Linked DNA regions of Rattus norvegicus. The protein of the gene in region 1 interacts with the protein of each later gene in a pairwise test. Links are inferred from orthologs where the notes say so. Each region holds a gene or a part of one and is shown on either strand. Other genes may lie near its edges.

Evidence for each region.
Region 2: the proteins of Ccdc136 (region 1) and Txlna interact in binary tests that used the Homo sapiens proteins (3 or more experiments, as listed by UniProt). The two-hybrid records come from large-scale screens. The link is inferred for Rattus norvegicus from reciprocal best matches to the Homo sapiens genes CCDC136 and TXLNA.
Region 3: the proteins of Ccdc136 (region 1) and Asb7 interact in binary tests that used the Homo sapiens proteins (3 or more experiments, as listed by UniProt). The two-hybrid records come from large-scale screens. The link is inferred for Rattus norvegicus from reciprocal best matches to the Homo sapiens genes CCDC136 and ASB7.
Region 4: the proteins of Ccdc136 (region 1) and Tcea2 interact in binary tests that used the Homo sapiens proteins (3 or more experiments, as listed by UniProt). The two-hybrid records come from large-scale screens. The link is inferred for Rattus norvegicus from reciprocal best matches to the Homo sapiens genes CCDC136 and TCEA2.
Region 5: the proteins of Ccdc136 (region 1) and Hmg20a interact in binary tests that used the Homo sapiens proteins (3 or more experiments, as listed by UniProt). The two-hybrid records come from large-scale screens. The link is inferred for Rattus norvegicus from reciprocal best matches to the Homo sapiens genes CCDC136 and HMG20A.
Region 6: the proteins of Ccdc136 (region 1) and Fam161a interact in binary tests that used the Homo sapiens proteins (3 or more experiments, as listed by UniProt). The two-hybrid records come from large-scale screens. The link is inferred for Rattus norvegicus from reciprocal best matches to the Homo sapiens genes CCDC136 and FAM161A.
Region 7: the proteins of Ccdc136 (region 1) and Cep57l1 interact in binary tests that used the Homo sapiens proteins (3 or more experiments, as listed by UniProt). The two-hybrid records come from large-scale screens. The link is inferred for Rattus norvegicus from reciprocal best matches to the Homo sapiens genes CCDC136 and CEP57L1.

The regions. Positions count from the first base shown.
Region 1 is NC_086022.1:58,990,329-58,993,462, forward strand, and holds the end of Ccdc136 (coiled-coil domain-containing protein 136), read left to right. Parts: exon of another isoform or gene 1-1,255; intron 1,256-2,303; coding exon 2,304-2,411; 3' UTR 2,412-2,634; downstream 2,635-3,134. UniProt on the Homo sapiens protein: May play a role in acrosome formation in spermatogenesis and in fertilization.
Region 2 is NC_086023.1:147,266,474-147,270,605, reverse strand, and holds the start of Txlna (alpha-taxilin), read left to right. Parts: upstream 1-1,332; 5' UTR 1,333-1,445; intron 1,446-1,895; 5' UTR 1,896-1,901; coding exon 1,902-2,067; intron 2,068-2,764; coding exon 2,765-3,103; intron 3,104-4,132. UniProt on the Homo sapiens protein: May be involved in intracellular vesicle traffic and potentially in calcium-dependent exocytosis in neuroendocrine cells.
Region 3 is NC_086019.1:129,667,506-129,671,005, forward strand, and holds part of Asb7 (ankyrin repeat and SOCS box protein 7), read right to left. Parts: intron 2,797-3,500; 5' UTR 2,679-2,796; intron 1,735-2,678; exon of another isoform or gene 1,611-1,734; intron 275-1,610; 5' UTR 224-274; coding exon 13-223; intron 1-12. UniProt on the Homo sapiens protein: Probable substrate-recognition component of a SCF-like ECS (Elongin-Cullin-SOCS-box protein) E3 ubiquitin-protein ligase complex which mediates the ubiquitination and subsequent proteasomal degradation of target proteins.
Region 4 is NC_086021.1:189,172,651-189,176,625, forward strand, and holds the start of Tcea2 (transcription elongation factor A protein 2), read left to right. Parts: upstream 1-1,175; 5' UTR 1,176-1,254; coding exon 1,255-1,323; exon of another isoform or gene 1,324-1,443; coding exon of another isoform or gene 1,444-1,554; intron 1,555-3,975. UniProt on the Homo sapiens protein: Necessary for efficient RNA polymerase II transcription elongation past template-encoded arresting sites.
Region 5 is NC_086026.1:65,767,688-65,771,187, forward strand, and holds part of Hmg20a (high mobility group protein 20A), read left to right. Parts: intron 1-103; coding exon 104-251; intron 252-2,819; coding exon 2,820-3,032; intron 3,033-3,500. UniProt on the Homo sapiens protein: Plays a role in neuronal differentiation as chromatin-associated protein. Acts as inhibitor of HMG20B. Overcomes the repressive effects of the neuronal silencer REST and induces the activation of neuronal-specific genes.
Region 6 is NC_086032.1:101,209,421-101,213,493, forward strand, and holds the start of Fam161a (protein FAM161A), read left to right. Parts: upstream 1-1,273; 5' UTR 1,274-1,509; coding exon 1,510-1,530; intron 1,531-3,916; exon of another isoform or gene 3,917-4,073. UniProt on the Homo sapiens protein: Involved in ciliogenesis.
Region 7 is NC_086038.1:46,874,048-46,878,026, reverse strand, and holds the start of Cep57l1 (centrosomal protein CEP57L1), read left to right. Parts: upstream 1-1,179; 5' UTR 1,180-1,238; coding exon 1,239-1,283; exon of another isoform or gene 1,284-1,409; coding exon of another isoform or gene 1,410-1,529; intron 1,530-3,979. Other genes in the region: Sesn1 (sestrin-1), read right to left, coding at 1-97. UniProt on the Homo sapiens protein: Centrosomal protein which may be required for microtubule attachment to centrosomes.

The DNA.
Region 1 (3,134 bases):
GCACCTTTCATTGGTTGGCCCTGGGGAATGGGGAAGACAATATACAGCAGATTATACTATTACCCTGTTGTGTTTCTGGGACCTCCAACCTCAGTAGCTCTCTTGGTGACTAATATTAATTTATTAGTGTCTCGTTTCTAAGACTTTTGTGTATTGTGAACACTAAGTATCCTCTCCTCATTCTGTACTAACACTGATTGCTTGGAGTTCAGTGACAAAGTTTTCCATTTTTCTCTCTTAGCAGTAATTCACTGCCATAGCGGATGAGTTTTTGTGGAGTCTTGTTTGATTAATTGTTGACCCTGACCCTATGTTTTATGTTTTCACAATGCTCTTTTTTCCTGCTAACGTCATTCACATCTTCAGGTGAACACCTTTGAGTTCAGCCAATCTCACAGAAGGACCCAGCCTCTAGGGCTGTCTTGTCAATCTCACAGAAGGACCCAGCCTCTAGGGCTGTCTTGTCAATCTCACAGAAGGACCCAGCCTCTAGGGGCTGTCTTGTCAATCTCACAGAAGGACCCAGCTTCTAGGGCTGTCTTGTCAATCTCACAGAAGGACCCAGCCTCTAGGGCTGTCTTGTCAATCTCACAGAAGGACCCAGCCTCTAGGGCTGTCTTGTCAAGTTCTCTTTACTCAGTGGTTTGGCTCTTAAGGAATGATCAGAACAGACAACATTGATATCCTCCTACTCTTTCTGCTTGTTGTCTGCAAGGACTTCAAGGAAATCTTGTCAGATACCTTGCATAGTCTGTCAGGTTCGTGACACATCCAGATGCTTGTGATTTCCTGGAGCCCAGAAGCTCTTTGGGACACCCAAATAGCCCGGCATTGTCTATGTGCCCATGGACGTGGGCTGCCTGTGGAGCCTTTAACTGTGGCTACACCTACACCAACAGCAAATGGCTGTCCCTTCCCTGCATCCTTCAGCCATCGGTGGCTGCTCAGCCACTAGCAGCTGACATCTGGGCTTTTCTTTTTTAGGTTTTGGGACAGGAGCCAATGTAGCCCAGACAGGCTCCAAACTGGCCATGCAGCAAAGTTCTGGGATTACATGTGTGCTACCAGAGCTAGAGTAAATGCCTTTTCTAGATATCCGTTTGTCATGAGAGGGCCTGGCGTGTAGACCAGGCAGCAGCACTCATGTGTGCTCCTGCTTCCTAATTTCTATTGTGGATTGTTTTACGTCCACTTCTAACATTAATTTTTTCATTTTATATATTTTTTGTTCTTAGCAACTTTTCCTATAAAATTGGGAGATTATATGCTCTTTGTAATTAGCTTAAATTTTTCTTTGAGAACAGTTATTCTTTAATCGAATACGTTAGCTTTAATGAACTCCACTCCATTTTTTTCCTCAAGACATCTTCCCCTTACGCTGTAACTTTTGATTCAAAATCCAGATTCTTTAAGCAACACAGTAAAGCGAATAGTAAAGATAGGAACTATTTCTCTCATTTTTGTGTTCAAGAATTCTTGTTTCCTGAATGTTTTCTTATGGCGTGTTTTCCTACCCATGAGGCATCAGGGTTTCCCAGCAGCCAGAGCATTTAGAAGCCTGATGGCACTCAGTGCATGCGGCAGGCTGTCAGGCCATGGCCCCGTGACTGAAGGTGGAGAGCTGGGGTGAGGAGTGCATTCATTGGCTCATGACACTGCTGTTCAGGACCAACAGCAGGTTCCCCTGGATTTCCTCAAAGTGACATCACCTGGCACACAATCTCTGGCCACCAGTGATCTCTACTTCATTCTGCAATGCATTTTGTTGCCTCCTCTCATGCCCACACTCCTTAACTTAGCTCTCACTTCTCCATAAAGTCAGTGAGCTACACCTACCCTCTCTAAAGGCCCAGGTTACCCCACCTCTTCTCACACACCTACATGAAGAGTCCCTGAAGGTGGGCCTGGAATCTTGCTTATGCAAATAGGAACCAATATTCTCATCCCATGGAGACAAATCAAGCACAAATACAGGGATAACCTAAGTAATCATACAGTATCCTGCCACAAAACTAGTGTGCTGGAATGAAACCACAGAGTCTCCATGATCTCCCTGGAGGTGAGAGAGGCTAAGCCATAAGAATGTTCCTGAGGGGGTTGGGGATTTAGCTCAGTGGTAGAGCGCTTGCCTAGCAAGCGCAAGGCCCTGGGTTCGGTCCCCAGCTCCGAAAAAAAGAAAAGAAAAAAAAAAAAAAAAAAAAGAATGTTCCTGAGGCATGCCCTCTAGTAGGCCGTGTTTTCTGGCTTAAGGACGGGTTCAGGAAGAAGGCGTGGAACTCACTGTTGTTTTTTGGTCCCCACAGAACATGTTTGGGATGTGGAAGCCTATGGTATTCTTGGCTATTGCAGCAGTAGCTCTGTATGTGTTACCCAATATGCGACCGCAGGAACCAGAATTCTACATGAATTGATGGCAGACCTGGACCAGCCCAGAGGGCAGATCCCCAGAGGCTACCACCCTCACCTTTGGGCAGAGTACACTGTGCCAGAACCCCCCACCCCATCAGTGTTTCTCCATCTCCTTTGCCTCAGTATTCAAGACTGAAAAGGCTTATGGGAGTTGCTGGCTCTCAATCTCCTGCCTTGTGTAAGAACCTGGGTTCCTTGTAATTAAATGTCAGCCTGATTACATGAGACGTTGTGTGACTTTTTCTTCAATAAATGTTTCACATAACATTGAACAGAGCAATTACCCTTCAACCAAGTATATCCCATAAGAGTCTGTTTTAAATATGATTTTTCAGAAATGAGGTTGGTTCCCTCTGCTGTCGGTTCTCTGTGAGTCTGCTGCCAGCTGAATCACAGAGATTGATCTGACCCTATTCAATCCTATCTCAAGAAACTCTTTTTTTTTTTTTTTTTTTTTGGTTCTTTTTTCCGGAGCTGGGGACCGAACCCAGGGCCTTGCGCTTCCTAGGCAAGCGCTCTACCACTGAGCTAAATCCCCAACCCCTCAAGAAACTCTTATAAACACAAAGAAATACAGCAAACTGGGTACTCTGTGTATGGGGCTAGAGGCAATGGGCAAACAAAAGACCTTCCTGGCTTACCCTCTCAACTTAGGAGATTCATTTTTGGAGACATTTTAATTAGTCAAGAGCCTGGCAGCAAACAAGACAGTCAATACTTGGACT
Region 2 (4,132 bases), on another chromosome or scaffold:
AGTTCCAAGTCAGGCAGCACTAGAAAGCAAGACCTTATCAAACATAGCAAACTCCAAACAAGTAAATAATTGAAATCACAATTGTGTTTGTTTTTGAATGATCTAAGCATCGAAAATCCTAATGAACAAAGACAAAATCTAACTTTCTAAAGCATTAGCCCATGTAGGAGCACGTGGTACTTTGCAGAAAGTGGGGCAGGGCTGAGTGGGAGTTTACCAATCCGCCTAAAGCCAAACCTCCTTGCTACAATCCCCTCCTGAGGATCCAAGCTGGTGATGTCAGAAGGCGGGGCATACTTGGTCTCAAAGCCTGTGATGGCGGAGAATGGTTAAGATGGGTTTTAGTTGGATCTGAGGTAGAAGCCAGCATAGTCAAAGACTAACAGCCAGGGCTACACGGAGAAACCCTGACTGGGCTGGGTGGAATGGAATGGGGCACTGGGGAGAAGATTAAGAAAAGGATGGGTGGTGTCAGGCTTCCAGGTTTGAATCCGCAATAAGCACACAGTATTGATGGATGGAGCCATAGATTATTTACCCTTTACCTGGGCATGGTGGCCCGTGCCATTAGTCCCAGTCTTGGAGAGACAAAGACAGGCAGAACTCTTGAATTCAAGGCCAATTTGATACACCTAGAGAATTCGGGGCCTGCCAAAGCCACACATGAGACATTGTCTCTAACAAACAATAGTACATACTTTTTTCTTTTAATTAGCCTTTTCCGTACTGCCCTATATTTCCCAGATCTCTGAGTATAATGTTCTTTCTCTGAGTAATTATGAGGACCAAGCTATTACATACGAGGGAAGAACACATTGTTTGGATTATTATAAACCTTCTACTGGAATGGAGAGGGGAGGGATACTAGGCACATAACAAATTAGTGGTTTGGGCGTGAGATAAATATCTCCTAATTCACAGTTTACCCTTCTTTCTCTCTTCCACTCGCAAGTCCTCAGAGATCCTAAAATAGTCATACATGTTCATAAGGGAGTGTATGAAAAAAAATCCAGACTGCCAAAGTTTAAGGGCCAATCATAGTTTCTGTACTAGGAAGGAGGCTGACACGAATCTCTAGACCGAATGACATAATTTCGGACCCTCAGGGTATTTGGCTCCTAAGCTTTTCGGTTGCATCTCGGGAGTTGTGACCTGCCGCAAGGCATGAAGGGACTCGTAGTTTTTCCCACTCCCGCCTCCAAAGCCGCCTTGGCCTCTTTTCCCAGCAAGCTCCGCGCCAGCGTTTGCTGTTGATTGGCTGCCGCAGGAGAGGGTGGTCCAGCTGGCAGCAGTTACCCAGGTTTCCGGTGCTCGGCCAGAGTCGGGGACGCGGTCGGACGTCCGCGGTGAAGTATGTCTTTGGGCTGTACACGGGACGAGCTCTTCAGAGGGTCCATGACCCAGGACGCGTTAGCCGCGGAGGAACAACTAATTCTGTGGACGGGGTGGGGAGAGTTGTGTGCTGCCGTGCTGCGCATGCGTACTTCGGGTCTAGAGGGCGCGTGGGGTGTGGGTGTCTTCTGTGTACGCGCGCGCGCGCGCGGGAATCCCACGTGGGACCTGGTGGGGCGGGGGGCCGGTCGGGACTGGAGCATCCCGCCACGTCAGTCTGCGGCTCTGAGCCAATCCCGCGCTCCCGCTGCCGAGAGGGAGCCGTGTGGTGCTGAGAAGTGGCATTCAGGAGAAGGGAGGCCTCTTCCTTCCTTCACTCTGTGCTGGTGCAGCTTCTCGGAAACCTTGCCCGGGACCGTGAAGTCTCAGGCGAAGGCCGACCAGTTTGTTTGAAGCTTAGAGCTTCAGATTTGGAGATTTCTCATCTAGGTTGTGAAGAATTTTGAAGTCTAGAAAATAGCAGCGGTGTCCGTAAAGGATCTACCCCTTTTCTGGCCTTGCAGATCACAATGAAGAACCAAGACAAAAAGAATGGGCCTGCCAAACACTCCAACCCGAAGAACAGCCCTGGGCAACGGGAAGCAGGACCGGAGGGAGCTCATGGACGGCCCAGACAGACAGCTCCTGGTGCGGAAGCTGAAGGTTCCACAAGCCAGGCTCCTGGGAAGACCGAGGGTGTGTGCCAGCTCTGCTTTTCCAGTGGGCAGAGGGAGGAGTTTCTGGTACTTGCATCTATCTGAGGCCAGTATTTACCCAGGAAGGAGGAACTATAGAATGAAACAATGCCCATTCTGTGATCCTCATGTTTCCTAGGGAGGTGATGAAGCTTTCCACTCTTAGCCCTGGAACGGAACCTTGGGGGCATGCTCTGACTGGTTTAAACCAAATGACAATCAAATGAGGCGCCCCATAAGCAAAGTCATATTCCCACTTGCCAGTGCCCGGTGATTAATTGTCCTTCATAAGACAGAGCGTCTGCTACACGTCAGTCGTCCCTCTTGTAGGGGTGCTTTACACAGTTGTCTTTGATGGTCATAACAAGTATGTTTGGGTGTTAGAAATAATTGTTTCGTCTTATAAAAACGTTTTATACGACTTAGGGTTTAAAAAAATTAAATTGAGGCCAGGCATAGTGGCCCTCACCTTTGTTCTCAGAACCCAGAAGTCAGAGGCAGGTAGATCTGAGTTTGAGGTCATCCTCATCCTCATAGTGAGTTCCCAGACAGCCAAGGCCCTGTAGAGAGAGCCTGTCTCAACTGAATAAATAAATGGAACGTTTAACCCACACAAGTGGTGTTTGTCTGGGCTTAAAGAAGAAGAAAACCCAAGGGAGCGGTGTAACCACCTAACGTTCACTGTCTTCATCTTGTAGGCGCTCGAGCTAAAGCATCTCAGTCTGGGGCCCTCTGTGATGTCTCTGAGGAGCTGAGCCGACAGTTGGAAGACATTCTGAGTACATACTGTGTGGACAACAATCAGGGAGGCCCAGGTGAGGAGGGAGCTCAGGGGGAGCCCACTGAGCCTGAAGACACAGAGAAGTCCCGAACCTATGCAGCCAGGAATGGGGAGCCTGAACCGGGCATTCCAGTCGTCAATGGCGAGAAAGAGACCTCTAAGGGGGAGCCTGGCACAGAAGAGATCCGAGCAAGTGACGAGGTTGGAGACCGAGACCTTCGAAGGCCACAGGAAAAGAAGAAAGCCAAGGGTCTAGGTGAGGGGGAGCTCCTGCTGACGGGAGGGAGTGAACACTTGCCATCTCATGGGCTAGCCTGCTCTGTCTGGACACAAGAGAATCTGCTTTTCAAGACAGTACATCCCCCCAGTTTAGTCAAAGATGGGGTCATCCCATTGAGCTGTTCAGATCACTCACTTGTGCAAGGCCTCCTGGCCTTGGGAGCCAAGTGGAGGCAGGAATCCAACTAGCTTTCTCACTGGGAATATGGAAAACCGGAGGGAGGCCTAAGTGCTCGACAACACCACTTTCAACCTGCTGTTTGACTTTGGGCATGTTTATTCTCCACTCCTAGAGAGGGTCTTAGTTTCCCTGTTTGTACAGCAATAGAATTGGGCTACACCAAGGTTGAAATATCAACATGGACCAGGTAAGCCACAGACCTCTTCAGAATCAAGAAAGGGCCTTCTTGATCTGAAAACCTGACTCCTACCTGGTTAGTCCCCCAGTCGCATCTGACCAGCTGAATAATTGGTAACCAAAATAATAGAAAGTAAGCAGAGGCCTCCATTGGTTGGATTTGCCATCTCCGTGTTACCTTTTGGGCCTCCCAGGGCTGACAGCTCAGAACCTGGTCTGTGCTGAGTACAGTGGAACCCAAGGGAGACAGCTGTAAGGCTTCCCGGCTGAGGTAAAGCAAGGCAGTGGCAACCTGGCACCATGGCGTACACCTTTAACCTCAGTACCTGAGAAGCAGGAGCAAGTGCATCTCCTGAGTACCAGACCAGCCAGCTGCATAATGAAACCTTATCACAAACAAAGGACAGGAGTGATGGGACAATGTGAAAATACGAACTTAGAACCTAATGCAAACCAAATATGGTAGTGTATGCCTCTAATGGGGAACTAGGAGGAACAGAAGCAGGAAGATGCTGAGTTCAAAGCCAGCTTGGGCTACATAGCAATACCCTCTCTTTGTGTGTGTGTGTGTGTGTGTGTGTGTGTGCGCGTGTGTGCGCGTGCGCGTGTGTGCGTGTGTGCGCGTGTGTGCGCGTGCGTGCGCGTGCG
Region 3 (3,500 bases), on another chromosome or scaffold:
CAGTGAACTCACCTCCGTGTTCCAGAAACACTCGAACACACCTCTCCTTTCCTCTTGCTGCAGAGAAATGGAGCAAGGTCCAGCCATTGGCATCTCGGCCATTTGGGGAATAGCCTTGTTCCAACATCTTTCGTACTGTGTGAACATCCCCGGCCGCCACTGCAGCCTGAATCTGCAATTCTTCCTGGAGCTCAGGGTTCCTCCGGCAGTGGTGGTGTAACATCCTAGCAGAGTCTGCTTTTCACCAACCAGACATTAGGTCACGGGAGGCAGCCTTTCGGGAAGGGAGAGCACATGCAATTTAGAATCTGTCTCTCTTCACACTGTGCTCACTGACCACCACACAACTATTCGCTCCCTAAATCAGTATAGACATGGAGAGCAGCTCAACAAGACTGGCTAGCAGGCATCTGCTTAGACCTAAATTTCCCATAGCTGCATTAAGGCTATAAATTAATTGAAAGAGAAAGCGGGGCAGAAAACACCCACTTAACAGAAAAATCTTTTCTGCAGTCTTTTTGAAAACTTGAAACTCCATTGGTCACGACAGCTCTCTCCTGGTAAAGTGGACGGTGGTCTCAGGACGCTAAGATGGCTGCAGTAGGACCAGTCTTAGGAAGTCTGACTTACACGATGCACCACCCCGACGGAAGTTACAAACTACTCAAGGATTTTATCACAGTCTGAGTCAATAAATATGGAATAGCAAAAAACAGCCCATTAAAGCCTGGAGGAGGAACTGAAAAGGAGGGGCTGTCTCTAGGCCAAGTCTCTGACCCAATCCACATCAGCATCTTATTTTTAATACAAGGTAATAAAGCCTGGGGGGTAGCAGCTGAGCGAAGGAACTGGATAAAATAGATTATATTCACACATGTGCGTGTGTTTCTCAGTTTTCCTACCTCGGCTACCTGATCACGATGTTTGTCTTCTCTTCCCTGTCATATTCTTTTAAAACATTTTTTTCTAATTTCAGTACCAGAAGTTTTATTTCATAAATACTCAAAATAGCATGCTAAGCAACCTGTGGATTGACCACATGATGAAATTACGTCAATGAACACTAATGCTAAGGACCCCACATCTTCTGCAGGTCATGGAGAAGTGTGTCCTCAAACCCAGCAGACAAGAAGCTTGTCCATGCACACAGGGAAGCCCAAAGTAACATGGCTACTTCTCATGTGGGGGTACAAGCCTGTCTGCATACTTTGAAGCATTTGAGATAGACAGAGAAAGCCAGACTGACAAGATCTTAGGAAGACATTCCAAATGGGCTGCTTTGTCAGAAGCAATTAGACGAATCTCCTGGTTGGTAACCTCCATTTCTATAAGTAAATTTGCTTGAAAGAAAAAAAAAGTGATAAAGTCCTTTGAAGATATTCTGTTCTCATATGTAGGTTAGACATCCAAGGATAATTTTGCAACTAATACTTTTTCTTACAAAATTTCTCATCATGAACTAGAGAACACAAGAAAAGTAAGCCTAGCTTGGTGGAGCCAAAACAGGCTGGGAACACAAACATCTGATGTGCTTTTACATATAATAATGACATCACTATAGTCTCAGCGATATCGCCCAGTGATATAATTTAAAAATATCAAGCTATTACCTCAAATAGCTGTTTCCTCAGAGAAAATTGGAAAATGAGAAATTTCTTGATAATTTGTTCTCTTAATAAGCAAGTTTCCTTTTGATTCTTCACTTAATTACTTCCTTGAAATTCAGTCTCTTGGCTTAGAAATTTAACATAAAAAAAATACCTTTCAGAATGGGTTTCATGTTAGTTTCAGTGCTATAAGAGACTATAACAAAACTTACCAGCACACATTAATGGAACCCCTTCCTGTCCACTCAGACCATCATCTTTAGCAGAACGCTTCTGAAGCTCTGATTTATTTTACTATTCTTTTTGAGTCAGTCTTATTTAGCTCTGCCTGGCCTCCCAACTTCCTATGTAGCCTAGGTTGGCCTTGAGCTCTTGATCCTCCCATCTCTAGCTACCAAGTGTTGAGTCACAGGTACATGTCGCCATGTTGGCTCAGAGTGAGTTCTGTGGATAGTGTAAGTGTGGAGATACACTAAGGCGCCCTCCTCTATAGCTCTCCCTTACTCTTTTAGAGAGAGTCCCTCACTGAACCTCGGCTTTACCATTTCTGCTAGACAGGCTAGATAAGCCGTTATGATCCTCCTTGTCACTGCACTCTGGTGCTGGGGTGACAAGTGTATATCCCATGGAATCCCATGGAAGTTTTCATTCCTGACTTTTCCCTGAGTAGATGGGGATCTAAACTCAATCTTCATGCCTGTGCTAAAGCACTTTACCCACTAAGCCTTTCCCAGGCCCCACAGGTGTGTTTAATAGAAAATTATCTTGGCACCTAGAGAGGTCTCCTCTATAGGAAAAAGACTGAAACAACATCAAAAGAAACCTAGGTTTTTCTTTCAGTGCCTGCTACATTAGTTTATTCTTTAAATCACTATTTTGCCCATTCTTTTCTGTGCAAGTCTATTCTATTAGACTAGGGACTGAACTCAGAGCCTGAAGCCTGCTAAATGCACTCTATTACTAAGCTATAGCCCCAACCAACTCATTAACAGATTTCAAGAAGAAAAATAAAAGTTAAACAGGATTTTCCTCAAAATAGCCTAGGAGGCTGATGATCCTGGGTCATCTTACCTTATAGAAGAATGTCTCTTCTCTCGGTGGACAGGTTGTCTAATAACCATGGCGTGCATGCAGCATGGTAGGAAGGGTTCCCAGTGTACCCCGGCCTCAGGGGAGTAGTCTTCTTCACCTACAAACAAACCAATCACAATCATGGGCTTTCCTAAAGTAAGAGAGAAAGCACCGCTGTCTGCAGTCTACTCTCTGATTATACTTTCTGATGACTTTATGTTTCAGGAGTTTACAACAAACTGACAGAAGAACTCAGAGAAGGTTTTGGAGCACATGATCTTGTTGCTTACAACAATCTCTAGACACAATCAAGTATGATTTATTTAAGAGTCTGTGCTGCCCCCACCCCAAGCTTCTTAAAAAACAGTAAATAAAGAAAATAACAAATCCCACATTTGGAATTTGGCTACAAGCTAAGAATCTTGTCTTTTCTGCTGAGAATATCTCTCAGGCCTGCTTCCTTTACTTTTTAAGGATACCATCAGTCACCTGCTCTTTTTAAAGAGAACTAAAAGGGGAAAAAAATGTGTGCATTCAACACAGCAGCTGCCAGGGGCCAAGTGTAAAGTAGGTGAGTAAATGGGGCTTATGCCTTTGAATGGTGGCTCTTCCTATGCCTTCCAGGCACCCAGTAAAAACATTTACTTACACACAACAAGCTAGTTAAAACATTAACTAGCCAGAGGTTTTACTACCTTCTCTACTGAATTCTTAAAGAACAAAACAATAAAAACCCCACAATATCACAAGGAAATCACTCTAGCAATTAACCTACTGGGAGATCCGACACCCTTTCTGGAGGTGGGGGGCCGAGCCTTTAGA
Region 4 (3,975 bases), on another chromosome or scaffold:
GCATTAGTTCAGTACTCAAACACAGGGTTCCCTCTCTCAGAATTTGTTTAGTTGGGTTTAGCTTAGAGCAAGGGCCCAGCGCCCAGGAGAGGGCAGAATAGGAGTTGGTATGAAACTAGAGAGCTGTGTACACATATGGAAAAGCTTTGTTACCTACAGGAAATTCCATGCCTTTTCCTTATGGTAAAGATGTCATAACTGATTGAAATGGTCAGCCCAAGCCATTTGTATATGCCATTTGCACTCTGCCCTCCTGGCTACTGTGGGTACAAAAACTCAGACACTGACTTTTGGTACCAGCACACCTGCCACCATCTATAGCACAGAAGAGGAGCAGAGTCTCTTTCTCCCTTTCCTGGGCATGGTTATGGTCTTCCTGAGGTACTGCCTCGGTACCTGATTGCCTCAGTACCCTCCCCTGTTCTCAGTGTATAATGTGAATTGGATGACCCTGACTGAAGCCTGTCATTGTCACTTCACAGGTTGGGAGACTGAGACATAGAGCAACGTGCAGAACTTGGGGTTTGTATTGTTAGGCTGACTTCAGAACCTGAATAGGTTTTTGTTGTTGTTTCGTTTTTCTTTAGAGACAGGGTTCCCCTGTGCAGCTCTGGCTGTCTTGGAACTAGCTCTGTAGACCAGGCTGGCCTTGAACTCACAGGGATCCGCCTGACTTTCTGCCTAGAGTGCTGGGATTTAAAAGGCATGAGGCTCTATTGCCTGGCTAAAGCCTGAATTCTTGCGGAGAAACCGTTTCAGAGTTCCGGGCCATCTGCGCAGAGGCAAGAACGCCCCAAACTCGGCTTGGTACCAAGTGAGGTGAGTGAGTCGTCCCACTCCCCACGCGCGTCTCTGAAGTGGAGTAGATCAGTGGAGGCGACCGGAGTGGATCAGTGAAGGCGGATGGGCCGCCAGGGCGAGCGGCTCCGATGGGTTGAGGTAAAGACCGGAGCGCAGCAGGGTAGTTCTCCCCGCTCCTCTAGTTCCACCCTCTCCCTGGCATTCGGTTGGCACGTGGGGCCGAGTTCCCGCGGAGGAAGCTACGGAACTACCTTTTCCAGGGGCCCGCAGGCCGCGGGCCGCGCAGTCGTCTGGGAGTTGTGGTCCCGGGGGCGGAGACTCTTTTTTTTTTTTTTTTTTTAATTGTATTGCACGCGGCCGCCAGGCGGAGGTTTGGACCGCGGATCTAGGCGGCGGCGGCCGAGGTCCGGCCGGGCGGCGCAACCGGCGCAATCCGCCGCCACCGAGGTAGTGATGGGCAAGGAGGAGGAGATTGCTCGTATCGCCCGGAGGCTGGACAAAATGGTGACCAGGAAGAACGCGGTGAGGGGCGCGGGCCGCCAGGACCCTGGGGCCCCGCTCCGTGGACACCGTCTGAATGAAACCTAGCCCAGGCAGTCGAGACCCCTTGCCCAGGCCCGCCCTCCACCCTGCCGCTTCGCTATGGACGCCACGCTGACCGAGAGCCGCCCTCTGTTCGTCGCCCGGCGGTGGCCGCGGGCGTTCTTGGCCCAGCCGTTGTCTCCCCTGTCTGCCCCCACCCTTCAGAACCAGGTTTCTCTAATAAATTTTTCCCCTGCTTAGTCAGGCCTCAGGCAACAGCAAGTCGGTTTGGGCAGACAGTAGAGATTCCGAGTCGAGCCTGTGGCGTTGAGACCTGAGGAGATGATGGCCCCTCGCCTGGTCCCTAGCCAGTGTGGGTTCGGCAGTCCAACCTCCGACCCGCGTAGTTTTGGGAGCATCCTTAGGGGATGATGGCACCTGCATCTTGCCTTCCGTGGGTGGGAAGGGACGAGGAGGTGGCCTTAAAACCGAGTATGACTCCAGAGCATCCGCGGCACCGCTCCTAGGGCAGCCCAGATAGTGGCTGAGTCATGAGTCTTTTCCTCAGGACTGCTTGAAGTAGAGGGCTGCGGGATAGCTTTGGGGGATGAGCAGGTTTGCTCTGAGGGTTGCAGGGTGGGGGTCTAAAGCAGGAAGCAGGTTAAGTTCCCATATATGCCTTTACACTGGAAACAGAAGCCGCCTGGTACTGCTGGTGCTTCTTTCCGGTAAGGGCGTTAAAACACAAATGACAAACTTGGAACCGAGGGTGGCAGAGATGGGGTTGGGATCCATAGGGAGACACAATAAGGATGGAAGGCCACAGATAGGACTAAACAGTTGAGAAGGGAACCTGCAGAGGTCCCAGTAACCTGAGAGGTTCCTTGGAACAGCTGGTGGTTTGTTTGGGCTTTTCTTGTGGGAATGCAGGGCTGTTGTGGATCAGTGCCCCTGGCTCTAAGGATCAGGTCTTCTTAGGAAAGTCAGCCACTTGAGGGCTGATTGCTGTACAGCCCGCCTTAGGGCCAAGATACAAGGCTGCAGGCTGAGCAGGTAATTCTCACAGATTGAAGGGTTAGCCCAGCCCCTACCACTGCCTCTAGTAAGGATGGTTTGAATGGCTGGGTGGGCTCTCCTTGCTTTTTTTTTTTTTTGTGGCTTGTAAGACAAATGAGCTCATAGTGGCAACTTGGAGGACAGCAAACACAATAGTGTTGGGTGTTAGAAGAGTCTGTCTCAGTTGTAGGAGTAAAAACTTGAAGTGGTAGAAGAGCAGCTTTAAACAGAGTTGGAGGGTTTAAGGTAGGACAAGAAGAGCCTGCCTACCCTTGAGGTTTGAAGAATGGAGCTTGGGCAGAGGAAGAAAATCAGGGTTGTCTGTTACAAACCTAGGAGGAAGGTGGTGGTTAGTTTGAGAAAGAGATAAGAAGTGGGACTATGGGATTTGTAGGTGTTAGCTTTTAAAAGAAAACTAGCATCCTTTCCTTTGTATATTTTAATTTAATTAATTTTACATTTGTTAGCGTGGTGTGTGTGTAAATATGAGGACGACCCCTGGAAGCTGGTTATCTCCTTCCACTATTTGGGAGCTGGAGATTGAACTTAGGTTGTACAACTTGTTGGCAAGCGCCTTTATCTGCTGAGCCATCTCACCTGCCCTCTTTTTTGATACTGGGTATTGAACCCAGGGCCTTAACTTGCCAAGTAAGTGCTTTACCACAGCTGTGTCTAGATGGCCCTCTCTTTACTTTGTTTTAAGACAAGGTCTCATTAGGATTCCCATGCTAATCTTGAGTTCACTCTGAGACTCAGATAAGCTTTGAACTTTTGATCCTCTTGCCCCAGCCTCCTAAGTATCTAAGATGATAAGGCCTGTGTCACCAGGTTTGGTAGTTTTCAATTAGCAATAATTGTGCCTCTGATAAACCTCATTGGCTATGGTGCTGTAACTTTGCAAATCTGGCTAGAGCAGAGATTCCTGAGAGTTTAGGTAGAGAGTTTTAGGTAGGGACAGGAAGAACCTGCCCACTCTGGAGGTGCAGCCTATCTGCAGATGCTGAAGAAAAGCCAGGGCAGAGGTTTGTCTGTTACAGTGCCCGGGAATAGTGCCACACTGATGGCTAGGCACTTTGAGGAGAGCCTGCTCTGCCACCATGGCATAGGTGGACTAAGGTTAAGGAACCTGAGTGTCCTTCCATGTCGAGCAGGAACTGGGGCTTTTCTTTTTCTCTAGTAGCTTGTTCAGTGTCCTCCTGTGGTTACCATGATGTCTGGAGATCAGCATAGATGCAGGGTGAGAAACCACCTGATGTTTGAGGACAGCATGGTCGGGCTGTTTGTCTCTATCCTTGCCCTATGGCAAGATCAGTAAAAAGCCCCTGCTGTGATGTTGGAACAAGTATGCAATGCTCTGGGAATCTCAGTTGTCCCACATGTGATCAGAACGAGGTGGGGTTGTCCACTAAGCCTCCCAACTAGTGTTCTCTGTGTAGTCCTGACCATCCTGGAACTCACTCTGTAGGCTAGGCTGGCCTTGAACTCAGAGATTCACCAGCCTCTGCGTCCTGAATGCTGGGATTAAAGACATGTACCACCATTACCCAGCATCCACTAAGGTTTAAAGTCCTTTATGGATGTCCATTTTCCTTCTAG
Region 5 (3,500 bases), on another chromosome or scaffold:
GTACTGGCTTGTGTTTTATCTAGCAGGAAAACTTACGGCAGCATAATAAGAGAAGGTTTCCTGCTGTCCATGCTGACCTTACGTACTTCTGCCTACTACTCAGGTTAACACACCCCGAGGGTCCATATGGCAGTGCAGCCACATCAACAACCAACAACCCAGAATTTGTGGAGGATCTCTCCCAAGGCCAGCTGCTTCAGAGTGAGTCTTCCAATGCTGCAGAAGGCAGTGAGCAGAGGCCTGAAGATGAGGTAAGCTAGCATCTCCTGTCACTGTCCACTGGAGCTTCCAAAGCAACTGGCATCCAAGGACTTATTCAGTGACGTGACTGCCACCTCGTGCCTTAGTTTCCTGGGCTGAGACTTGCCCAGCTTTCTCATACATATCTCTTGTCATATCTAGAGTCTTATCAATGGTTTTAATGACGTAGAGACAAATAGAATCTGTCTATCCTCAATCTGACTAAACATAGCTATTTCCTGTAATGTTCAGCATGCTCGGAAGCTGTTTGTTGTGTTGTTGTTGGTTTGTTTTTATTGTTGTTATTGCTGTTTTGATATAGGGTCTCAGGTGACTCAGGTGACATCTGCTAGAATTGCAGATGTGCTTGCCGGTCTCAGTCTTGACAAATACTTGTTTTGTGAGTGAATGGTTTAATTAAGTAACTATTAAGAAGTCTTCATGCCCTTGTTCAGGGCTATACGCTGTTCACAAGCCCTACAAGACAAAGACATATGTGCCAGATCACTTAATGAGTCCTCCTCCCTCCCGTAGGGCCCATCCTTCCCCAAAGCACACAGACATTCAGTATGGGGATGGGCAGTCATGGCCTTCACTTACAGATGACTTTATTACAGATGACTGGCCACATTCCACTCTTCTGTTTTAAGACAGACAAGAACAGCATCATCCATGTTTGTCTTCTCTCGTATATGAAAAAACTGGTTTGTTCATATACCCCGCTGGTGTTTCTAAAGATAATAATGAATGCTGGTAGCTTTTCCTCAACTTGTTACGTGTTTGCTATGGTGTGGGGTGGTGTTTGTGTGGGTGTATAATGCTCGGGATTTATGCTAAGCACATTTTCACTGGGCCACGTACTAGGCTCCTTAGTAGCTTCATGTTCCTAGGCTTCCAAAAAGTAAAACAAAACAAAACAAAAAAGCTGGAAACCTAATCTCTAATATACAATTTACCAAATGCAGAACTGTCACCATTCACATAGATTTGGAGGAGTACAGTACAGTACTACACTTAATACATAGATGCGCTTGTCCCCTTCGGATCTTGTTCACCTTTCTCCTCCCTGAAATAAGAATTCCTGTATTCATGGTGCATAGACTGATAGACTTTGCATGTGTTAAATTATGGAACAGAGTATGATGTGTCTCATTTAGAAGGCAAGAAGAAAGACTGGTGTCACATATCAGCGACACCACAGGGGGTTTTGTTTTGGTTCAGTGAAGTTTGGTTTGGTTTGGTTTGGTTTGGTTTGGTTTGGTTTGGTTTGGTTTGGTTTGGTTTGGTTTGGTTTGGTTTGGTTTGGTTTGGGTTTTCCAGACAGGGTTACTCTCTGTAGCTCAGCTGCCCTAGAACTCACCCTGCTGACAAGTCTGACCTCAAACTCAGTTCCGACTGCCTCTGCGGAGGACTAAAGGCATGTGCCACCATGCCCAGCTGACACTGCAGTTTTTAAAAGCATATTAAAAGTTGATTTGATCTGCTTTATCGAAACCCAGTATGTAAAAACTTCTATCTCAAAATGAAAGAACAAAAAAAAGGCTATGACTTTATAAAATTTGTATCTTAATGAACAATCATCAAGCTAAAGAACTTGTCTTTATTTTATATATATTGCTGATAATTTCCTGAGACTAAATATTAATTTAAATATCTGTCTGCTGTTTGCTATGGGATTAACTGATCTTCAGTATCAGTGAGGAAGGCTTTCATTAATTATTTTTAATCCCCATGCTGCCGCTTTTCCTTCACTCGCTCGCTGCACATGGCAGCGTCTTATCCTGACTTCCTGTGACAGTGCCTCCTTCTCTGGTTTGGGGAGGAGTGCAGCTGAATGTGTCATGTAGAACATCCCTGTCAGGAAGTGTAGAGGAAGGCCAAAGCGTGCACAGTCATGGTGCCCCCTTCTCGTCTTTTGGGATTAGTACCAAAATAACCCTTTAGACAACAAGGGTGGCAGTGCATGCCTGAAACCGCAGCACTCAAGCAGCTGAGGCAGTAGGATCACCGTGATTTTGAGTGTACCCTGGGATACATAATGAGTTTGAACCCAGCTTGTGCTACCTAGAGAGACCCTGTTTCCAAAAATAAAATTTTAATAGCCTTTTATTTCTCAAATTTGTAGTATGATGTCTTAAAGCACTGGTTTTCAACCTTCCCAATGCTGTCTGACCCCTTAATACAATTCCTCATGCTGTAATGACTCCCAACCATAAACTTATTTTCATTGCTACTCCATAACTATAGTTGTGCTATTGTCATGAATCATATTGTAAATATCTGATATGCAGGTATCTGATATGCAACCCCTGTGAAAGGGTTATCTGACACCCCCTCAGGAGTCCTGACCCACAGATTGAGAACCACTGCCTTAAAGGGTCTGTAGTTGAAATATCTGAAATTTGTATTTAATGCGTCATCATGGTATTTGACTGGTCTGGAGAGCTTTGGCTATCCAGGCCCCACAGGAAAGTGCAGCTCGTGTCCTCTTTAGATGTTCCTATTTGTTCCTATTGCTGATCGATTACTTGAGTGATTACTGTTTGGGTTTTGGTTTTTCATTTTGTTTTGTTTTATAGCAAAGAAGTAAACGAGGAGGCTGGTCCAAAGGGAGAAAAAGGAAGAAACCTCTTCGGGACAGCAATGCACCCAAGTCCCCCCTTACAGGATATGTTCGATTCATGAATGAGCGTAGAGAACAGCTTCGAGCAAAACGACCAGAGGTCCCATTTCCAGAAATCACAAGGATGTTGGGCAACGAGTGGAGTAAACTGCCTCCTGAGGAAAAACAGGTGATAGTTCTGCTGCTGGGCTCTCCTCGTGTTTGATTGTATCTCAAAAGTTACTTGGGGGCTAGAGAAATTTGGAGACTGGCTCATGGTTAAGTGCACTCACTGCTCCTCCAGAGGATTCAAGTTCACTTCCTAGCACCCATGGTAGGTGGCTGCCTGTAACTTCAGCTGATCTGACACCCCCTTCTGCCTCTGTAGGCATCCCTATAGACATGACCCATTTACACACACACACACACACACACACACACACACGTGTATAATATAATATAAATATCTTTAAACGATTTCTATCAAAAAAAAAAAAAAAAGCAAAGAAGATGGAAGTTGATTCGTAGTTGTGTCACGGTGCTTAGAAGACCAGAATATCAGAGGGGCTGACACAGAAAAAGCATAAGTTCAAGGCCCATCTAGGCTACAGAGTGAATTCAAGGCTAATCCAAGCAACTTAAGAGTCTTCAACTAAAG
Region 6 (4,073 bases), on another chromosome or scaffold:
TCGATGTCTGCAAATTTAGAATACTGTCGGTCGAAACTTTCCTATTCTCTGTACTGAAGGACACTGATGTCCTTCATACCCATTATTTACTATTTCATGATCCTAAAACCATCAGCTTACAGGGCTTCAGTCTGTAGACAGGTCTTGTTTTTGAGTTGGCTTACACCAAATCCCGTCACAGAACTAGCTGTCATTCCGACGGCTATGGATCCCTCCCCACCTCTAGCTTTTCAGAACCAACCAGTACCCATCAGTTCCTGCAAGAGGCAAGCTCAGCCAAACCAGAGGAGGCAGGGAAGGTGAGGTGATGGAGACCTCGCAGGGGCGAGCAAGGAAGGGCTGGTAGCAACTGCGTCAGAAACAGGTTCAGTGGAAGGCGAGCCGCATAATGTGGAAACTACTGGAACCTTATGGTGGGGACAGGGGCGCTACTTCTAAGTAGTGTTACGTTGCAGGTGGCTGAGACTTCACTGAAAGACCATCCGAAGCGGCCAAAAACCTAAGATCGATCAGGAGGCTGGTGGGGTTGAGCTGGGAGGGTGTGGTCCCTGTGGGTTCTCCCCCTCCAAGCCTGCGGCTAAGCTAGCTGCAGAACCCCAAGACAAGCTACCCCATCACTCACTGGTCCGAGTGACAGGCATTTCCTATGTCTAGCGTCTTACTGGTCAGTCGAGAAACAGGAGGGCGGGACAAATAAGTATTCTCCCTCTGATTGGTCAACTCGTGAAATTCTTGTCAATTAGAGATGAACTGCGTTCTCCGCCATGTTGAATAGCACGCTGCATAGCCTGTCCTTTTCTTGGGCTGGTCACCCAACGCCCGTTCTTTCCTGTTCCTCTGTGCTCTAATATGTTGATCCAGTTAATAAAAACGCGCTTTCTGCGTATACCGCGAGAAGTCCTCGTTCAGATAGAACGAAATAAAGCTAGAAACCAGAGAAAAGCTCAGTCCCTAGCTGCGGATCTGGGTGTCATTCAAGAGAATCAGTAATAGTCCCGGTGCTGATGAGATTCCATTGAGCAAACTCTCTTGAAGACTGCGTTTTACTTTAGCTTACTGTGGTAGTCATTAGTGTAGATTCGGATAGTTATGCTTCTAGAATGCCCCGTTAAACCGCAGGATTGTATCAGAAACCATCATTAGACGTTAGCTGGACTCGGGGCTCGCATTTGTGACAGTGAGAAAGGACGTTGCCTGCGTTACGGTCCTTCGCCACCTCCTGTAGCGTCCCTAGTAACCGTGCCCCTAGTAACCGCTCTCCCCAGCCAGGATCTGCGAGCGAGGCGGCGGCGCCAGCTCACCCGCCCCGGGCCGGCGCGGGCGCTCGGGCTCGGAGGCGGGGCGGTGGCTTCGCCGCACTAGGCTATCAGACTGGCTGCTGCCAACCTCCACCTGCCCGCAAATCCCATCACAGGAGCAAGGGCCTCCCAGTACGAACGCGAAGACCCCTTATAGTTCTTGGTAGCAGCGGCGTTGGCGGCGGCCGTGGAAGAGAAACAGAAGAAAAGGATGTGGCAGATACGGGCGTCGGTAATGTGGGAGCCCGGCGGGGTCTGGGGGCTGTCCGGGTCCTCACCAGCAGGGACGGGTGGAAATGCGGTGTCCTCTGCAGACCCTTCCTGCTCTCTGCTCCAACTAAAGACTAATGCAAAACTTTCTTGGAGAGCATTTTTATAGCTATTTCTAGAGTGTGCACAGAACAGAATTCTACTTATTTATTCTCCAGCATATCTTGAGAATAAATATTCTTCAGTTTTTTAAATTTTTTTCTATTTTTAATTTTTGTTTTTTCCCTTGAGGAAAACTGATGTGCCTATCTATAGTTTTCATAAAACCTCAGATGATAAGTTGGACTGACAAGTGTATTTTATCGGTTTTGGTTAGTAGTGGATTTTAGCAGTCCTTTAGGAAAGCCTGTTTGAAGTTCAGTGGACAGATGCTCCATAGATATAGAGAAACATCCAGATAAATCCCCGAAATCCCAAAGTTTACTAAAGGGGCCATACGGGTGCAGTGAGGTCTTCTCGCAAAACATTTTCAGTATTATGTCCTGGATGCATTTCTAGCAGGAGGGCACAGTCTTCCTCTATCCTCTCTACTTCTTTTCCATATACATATGGATTATGGTTTATTTATTTTATACATATGAGTACACTGTCGCAGTCTTCAGACACACCAGAGGAGGGCATCAGATCCCATTACAGATAGTTGTGAGCCACCATGTGGTTGCTGGGAATTGAACTCAGGAACTTGGAAGGGCAACCAGGGCTCTATCCGTTCTATTCATTTCATTTGTTTGTTTTTAGATTTATGTGTATGAATGTGCGCAGTGTGAGTTCCTGGGAGTTCCTGACGGTTGTGATGGGGGCTGGGAATCAAGCCTAGGTGCTCTGCAAGAGCAGCAAGTGCTCTTAAGCCATTGCAGCATCCTTTTTAGTTTGTCTCTTGAGACATAGCCATGGCTGTCCTGGAACTCAAACTCACAGAGCTCTGCCTGCCTCTGCCTCCTGAGTGCTTGGTTTAAAGGTGCATAGTAAAATGCCCAACTTTTATTCACTTAAAAAGTCTAGCACTCTGCTGGTGTAAAGCACCAGGAAGGAGCATGTCTGTGTGTGTGTGTGTGTGTGTGTGCACGTGCACATGTGTGTATGTGTCCCCACCCCAACCCCTGCCACTTGGTTTCTTAGCAGTGCTGGGGGTGGGATGAAGGGTTTGTGCTTTAGGCAAGTGCTGTACTAACAGCTACAAACTTGGTTTTTGTTTTATTTTAGACAGGGTCTCCTTTGGTTCAGGATTGCCTCAAATTTGCTGTTAAAATCCTGACCCTCCTGCCTCCATCTTCCCAATACTGGGATTCAGGCACCGTGGCTGGCCTGTATCAGCTCTTTCAAGGTTATGTAAAGTAGACAGAGGCCCAAACCACCAGAATCCTAGGACTGGTTTATACCTGATAAGGCTGCCATTCAACACAATCTATCAAAGGTTACAGAAGGCAGAATGCTGGAATGGAGGGAAGGAGTTGGATTCTGGATCAGAAGCCATTGTCTGCTACTCGCTGGGTGATTATAGGACATGACTTCTGTTTCTCTGTCTGTAAAAGGACTATAATCGCCCCCATCTTCTGTTAATAAGAACCAGAGGAGAGAATGGGTGTCATTTCTAGAGAGTTTACATAAATTCGTAATTATAACTGCCAGCTTGAACAATTCACTTGGAAACTGACATATACTCTGGCAGAAAGGTCTGTCCTTTGTATAGTTGTGCTTAGGTTCCAAAGTGCCCTGCTCACTGAAGATTTGTGTTATAAGTGGAGTTTGGGTTTCCAACACCCACATACACACCTGGTGTGTTGGCTTTTGTGTATAATCCCAGTGCTTCGGGAGGAGGAAACAGGCAGATTCCTGGAATTTGCCGAAAGCCCCATCTCAAAAGATAAGATGGACTAGGGAACTCACCCGAGATCGGATGTTCCTGCAACTGATGCTCACCCCTGCACAGGCTGGGAAACTCCTTCTGCTCTCCTTTCCCCAGCCCCGCCCACCTGGGAGAAAACTCAGGCTAACACATCATCACTCCTCTCCGAATTCCAGACAACCTGCCCAAGAGTGCCTCCCCGGGGGCTCAGATTCTGACCACACGTGCACACCAACCATCCCAGCTCCTAGCTAGCAGATCTTCACTCCTCACAAAGCTCTGTAAAACCCCCTTGCTTTAGCCTGGATGTGACGTCACCGACCTCCACCTGTGAGATCGATGAACCCACCCAAGAGCTGCCCCCTAATAAACCTGCCTTTATCCACTTCTAATCCGGTCTAATCCAGCCTGTATCTGTGTCACCGAGGGGAGAAAAAGTCTGTCATTGACCTCTGGTGCACACACACACACACACAGGCACATACACACAGGCACACAGAGACAGAGAGAACCTCAACATTTAATAGAGACATCAAAAGAGATTAAGGATTAGCCACCATAGTAGGAGGCCTGGAACAAGGCCCAGAGGGTCCCACATTCACTGAGAGAAGCAGTGAGGTGAGAAGTCAAGTGCTTCACATCAGTTCCCTAAAAATGAA
Region 7 (3,979 bases), on another chromosome or scaffold:
GAACAATCTGCCTAACGCTTTCCAGTGCTGTCTCTCTAGTAGTTGGGTCTCTACTGCACAGACCCTCCCACCTCACTTCATTCTCTCCTTCGGCCATGACTGACAATCGTGAGCTTTTTCTTTTTCAGTCTTTTTGAGAGAGAGATTGGTTAAGAATAAAGTCAGAAAAATCCAGCGGTCACGAAAGCAGGCGTCTGGATGGCACTGGGAATCACACGTGCTTTTTTAAAGTTGATGCTTTCAAATCGATCCACAAGGCGGTTCACCCAGGCACCCTCTCCCACACGAAAGGGCAGTCTTCTGACAGAGATGGAAAAGAACCAACTTGGAAAGTTGCAATCTCACAGAGCTGGTTAGCTGGACAGGGAGTCTCGGGGAAGTGCTCTCGGTGTCGCAGGGTCAGCGGATATCCTCGCGTTGTGGAGCTGTCAAATCCGTGCTTGGTCCCAAAAGGCTGGTAACAGTAGAAGGTTCTCCAGCCATTCGATTTTTTTATTTTTTGTCTGTGCAGCGGCCAGTTTTCTAGTGTTCCCACCCCGCCCTCCTCCGACACCAGTCTCCGCCCCTGTCGGCTCCTCCTAGCGCCTCGGCAGGGCAGCGGGCGGGCTGCTGGCGGGGGTAGGCGGTAGACCCTGGCCCTTAGCTGCTGGGGCCTGAGGCTCCGGTGCTCCGGGGACTCCAGTGCCCACCAGTCACTGTGTCAGCGGCGACAGAGGGCAGCGTCGCCGACCCTGCCGGTTCCTGTCTTCCGGGGTACGCCGTGCTTCTCTTACCCCTCTGTCCTCGCCCACCTCCGCCAAGCCAGAGGGCACCCAGCGACCCAGCAGTCATCGAGCCCCGGGCTGCGCTGCTGAAGCACAGGGCCCCAGGCACAGAGCCCGCCCCTTCGCCCAGCCCCGTCGGTGGGGCTCGGCCCAGAAGGCGGGAGCAGGGAGGGGAGACGGGGTCCTCACACCCAGCCCCTCCCCTGTCCCCGCCCGGGACCGCCGGGAGCCGCCCCTGCCCCATGCCTGCCTCTCCGCCCAGGCACACGCGACCCGCAAAGGCAGCCATTGGAAGCAGCCCCGCCCTCGGGCAGAGTACCTCCGGACCCCGAGTCCAACGCGCGCCGCCGGCTAAGGCCGGCTGCTGCGCATGCGCGACGCCGGCCAAGGCGCATGCGCTCTCCGCGGCGTTGTCCGTTCTCGACGTTTGGAGGCGCTGGCTTGAAGAAGGGTAAAGGAAATTAAGGAGTACGGATGCCCCGAGATGTTTATCGCACAAGAAAAAACGAACAAATAAAGGTGCTTTGTAGTATTCCTAGTATAAGTGGGATATAATTAAAGATTAGCCTAAAAATTAGTGACAGCCAAGCCCCAGATTCAGTAGGCAGGGCGTCTTTGCGTTGGCTTTCGGGAAATGTAGTTGTAATGCTACCGACGCGCTCTGTTTGCGACAGAAAATACAACTCCCAGATGCCACCGCGACACTCGTCTTTGCCCGCGAACCAACGGTTCTGGAGGCCGTGGTTAACTGGGAGCGTCTGTCTGGTAAGCGTGGTAGACTTGGCTGTGAGCCGCTCATTGGAAATGGTTTTCCCCTGAAATTTTGGTGCTGAAGCCATCTGGGATTGCTTTCTTTCATTCCAGAGCCTTTCCCCAATGGCTTGCCGGGAGAGAAATAGTGCAGGCGCTAAACTTGGTGGGTGACTGGAGCAAGGATTTGGGGATAATTGTTTGGAAGGTCGAGGAGCAGCCTTAAGACAGGCAAGCTGGGGAAAACAAACGACGCCGCTGCTTCCGCAATCCTCTTGCACGGGATCTGTAAGATTCGAGAACACCCCTCTGAGCCCTACGTTCCGGATGTCACACTCGTTTGAATCTTACGGAGCCAGTTCTGGATGGATTAGGAATCCCTACTAAGCATTGCAATTGCACCTTTGTTCTTACAGGGGTGTGTTTTGCGCTGTGTTTTTGCTAAGTCAAATAGAATCCGAAGGGATCTTTGAAAGCAAGTCCGTTTTGTGTGAGACCGAGAAGAACTCCCAAATGTCCCTAGGTTCGAAGTTTTACAAGCTTTGAAAGGTTCTGTATGAAAAGAAGCCCATAAAAACCTCCCAAATGTGTTGTCTTTGAGTGATGTGGACATTTCTCAGAAGGTGTTGTGAAGTGTTTATACTTGAGAAAACTCAGATTTGGAAGGTTTGTCTAGTAAGACTGGTAATCGGATTAGATTTTAATCCTTTGTTTTACAGAGTAAACGTAGTCATAAAATATTGATCAGGGACTGGAGAGATGGGGTGGTTGTTTAAGAAGGCTTGTTCCTGGGGCTGGGGATTTAGCTCAGTGGTAGAGCGCTTGCCTAGGAAGCGCAAGGCCCTGGGTTCGGTCCCCAGCTCCGAAAAAAAAGAACCAAAAAAAAAAAAAAAAAAAAAAAGGCTTTGCTAACCTAGGACTAATCCTAGAAACTTCTAGCTTCTGTAGAAGCCTAGAATGTTTTCAGCTTCTGAGACTTACTGCTGAATAAGCTCACCCTTCCTGGCTCTCTCTGAACTCTGGCTGGCTGGTTCAGCGCCCAGCTGTTCTGACTCAAACTGGCATCTCTTGCTTCTGACTGAATTACTCTGCTTGGCTTCAAACTCACTCACTCTAGCGAACTGTTCTAACCTTCTGCTCCTGCTCATTCAGTCTTTCCCTGTGTCTAACTTGTTCTCTCTTCAACCTGCCTCTGTAAAACTCCCAGTAAAGCTCCCTTCCTTCCTCTCCCTCTGCTCTGCTCCCTCTTATGTTGCCTCTCTCCTTTCTCTTTTCCTGAGAGCTGGGCATATCCTATTCTATCAAATCTTTTTCTGATTCGTCACTTTGTCTGCCTCTCAGTTTGAAAGTAGACATCACATGGCTGCTTCCTTCTACAAACTAACTTTACCTTCATTGTTTGGGATAAAAGGTGTGTGCTAAGGGCATGTCAGTGTTCTAATCTGAGTAGCCATGTTGCTGGATTAAAATCCCACCACAGGCGAGTGGAAAAGACATAACCCCTCATCGTATTAGAAAATTAATGTATAAAATAAGTTGTGATACTATTTGATATTGTTGGCTGTGGGAACATTTAGCCCAATCTTAGAAAGTCAGGGAAGTTTTCATCCCAAGGAAAATGAAGGCCAAATGAATAGCACAAGGCTTCAGCCAACAAGTGCCTGCTGACTGCCTTCTGCTCAGTAGGGCGTCACTGAGCTTGTAGTCTAGGAGAGCAAATAAGAGTGCATGGCAAAGGAAACAATGAAGCAAATTGGAAAGGAATGAAAAGTGCTTGACTGGCGAGAAAAGGTTCCCCTTTCAGTCTGAGGAGGATCCTTGATGGCTTGTATGTGCTGGCTGCCCACATCAGCCACCTCAGCCACCTCGGGACAGCTGTTAGAAGATGAGCTAGCAGGGTGGAGTTGCCTTTATCCAAAGGCCTGCAATACTGAGAAGATGGTTTAGCCTCCAATCTGGTGTGTGTGCGCGGGTGGGGTACAGAGGACTCTGCTATTGTGGAGGATGATGCAGACAGTGAGCAGAGAGTCCGTGCTGGGAGGGGGAGTGGTGTGGAGTTTTCTCTGCCTTGTTCTGGGTGGGCTTAATTCTCCAGAGCGTCACAGGGGACCAAGGGCCCATGGTTTTTGTTTGGGGACATGGGCTGTTTTGTTTGTAGGCCCCTCCAGTTACCTTTCTCTGAGTTAATTTATGTGCTTTGCATTCTCTGACGCTACATCAAATCATCTCATGAATCATCAAAACCAAGGGCTTTTGGGAGTTCTGAAGGTCATCCAATTTAATCATCCCGGTGGGACTAAAGATTCCAGAGGGACACGAGGTCTGGGCAGAGGAGACAGGGGAAGACTGGACAGAGAGGGACCTACTTGAAAATACGGCTTTTTTTTTTTTTTTTGGTTCTTTTTTTCGGAGCTGGGGACCGAACCCAGGGCCTTGTGCTTCCTAGGCAAGCGCTCTACCACTGA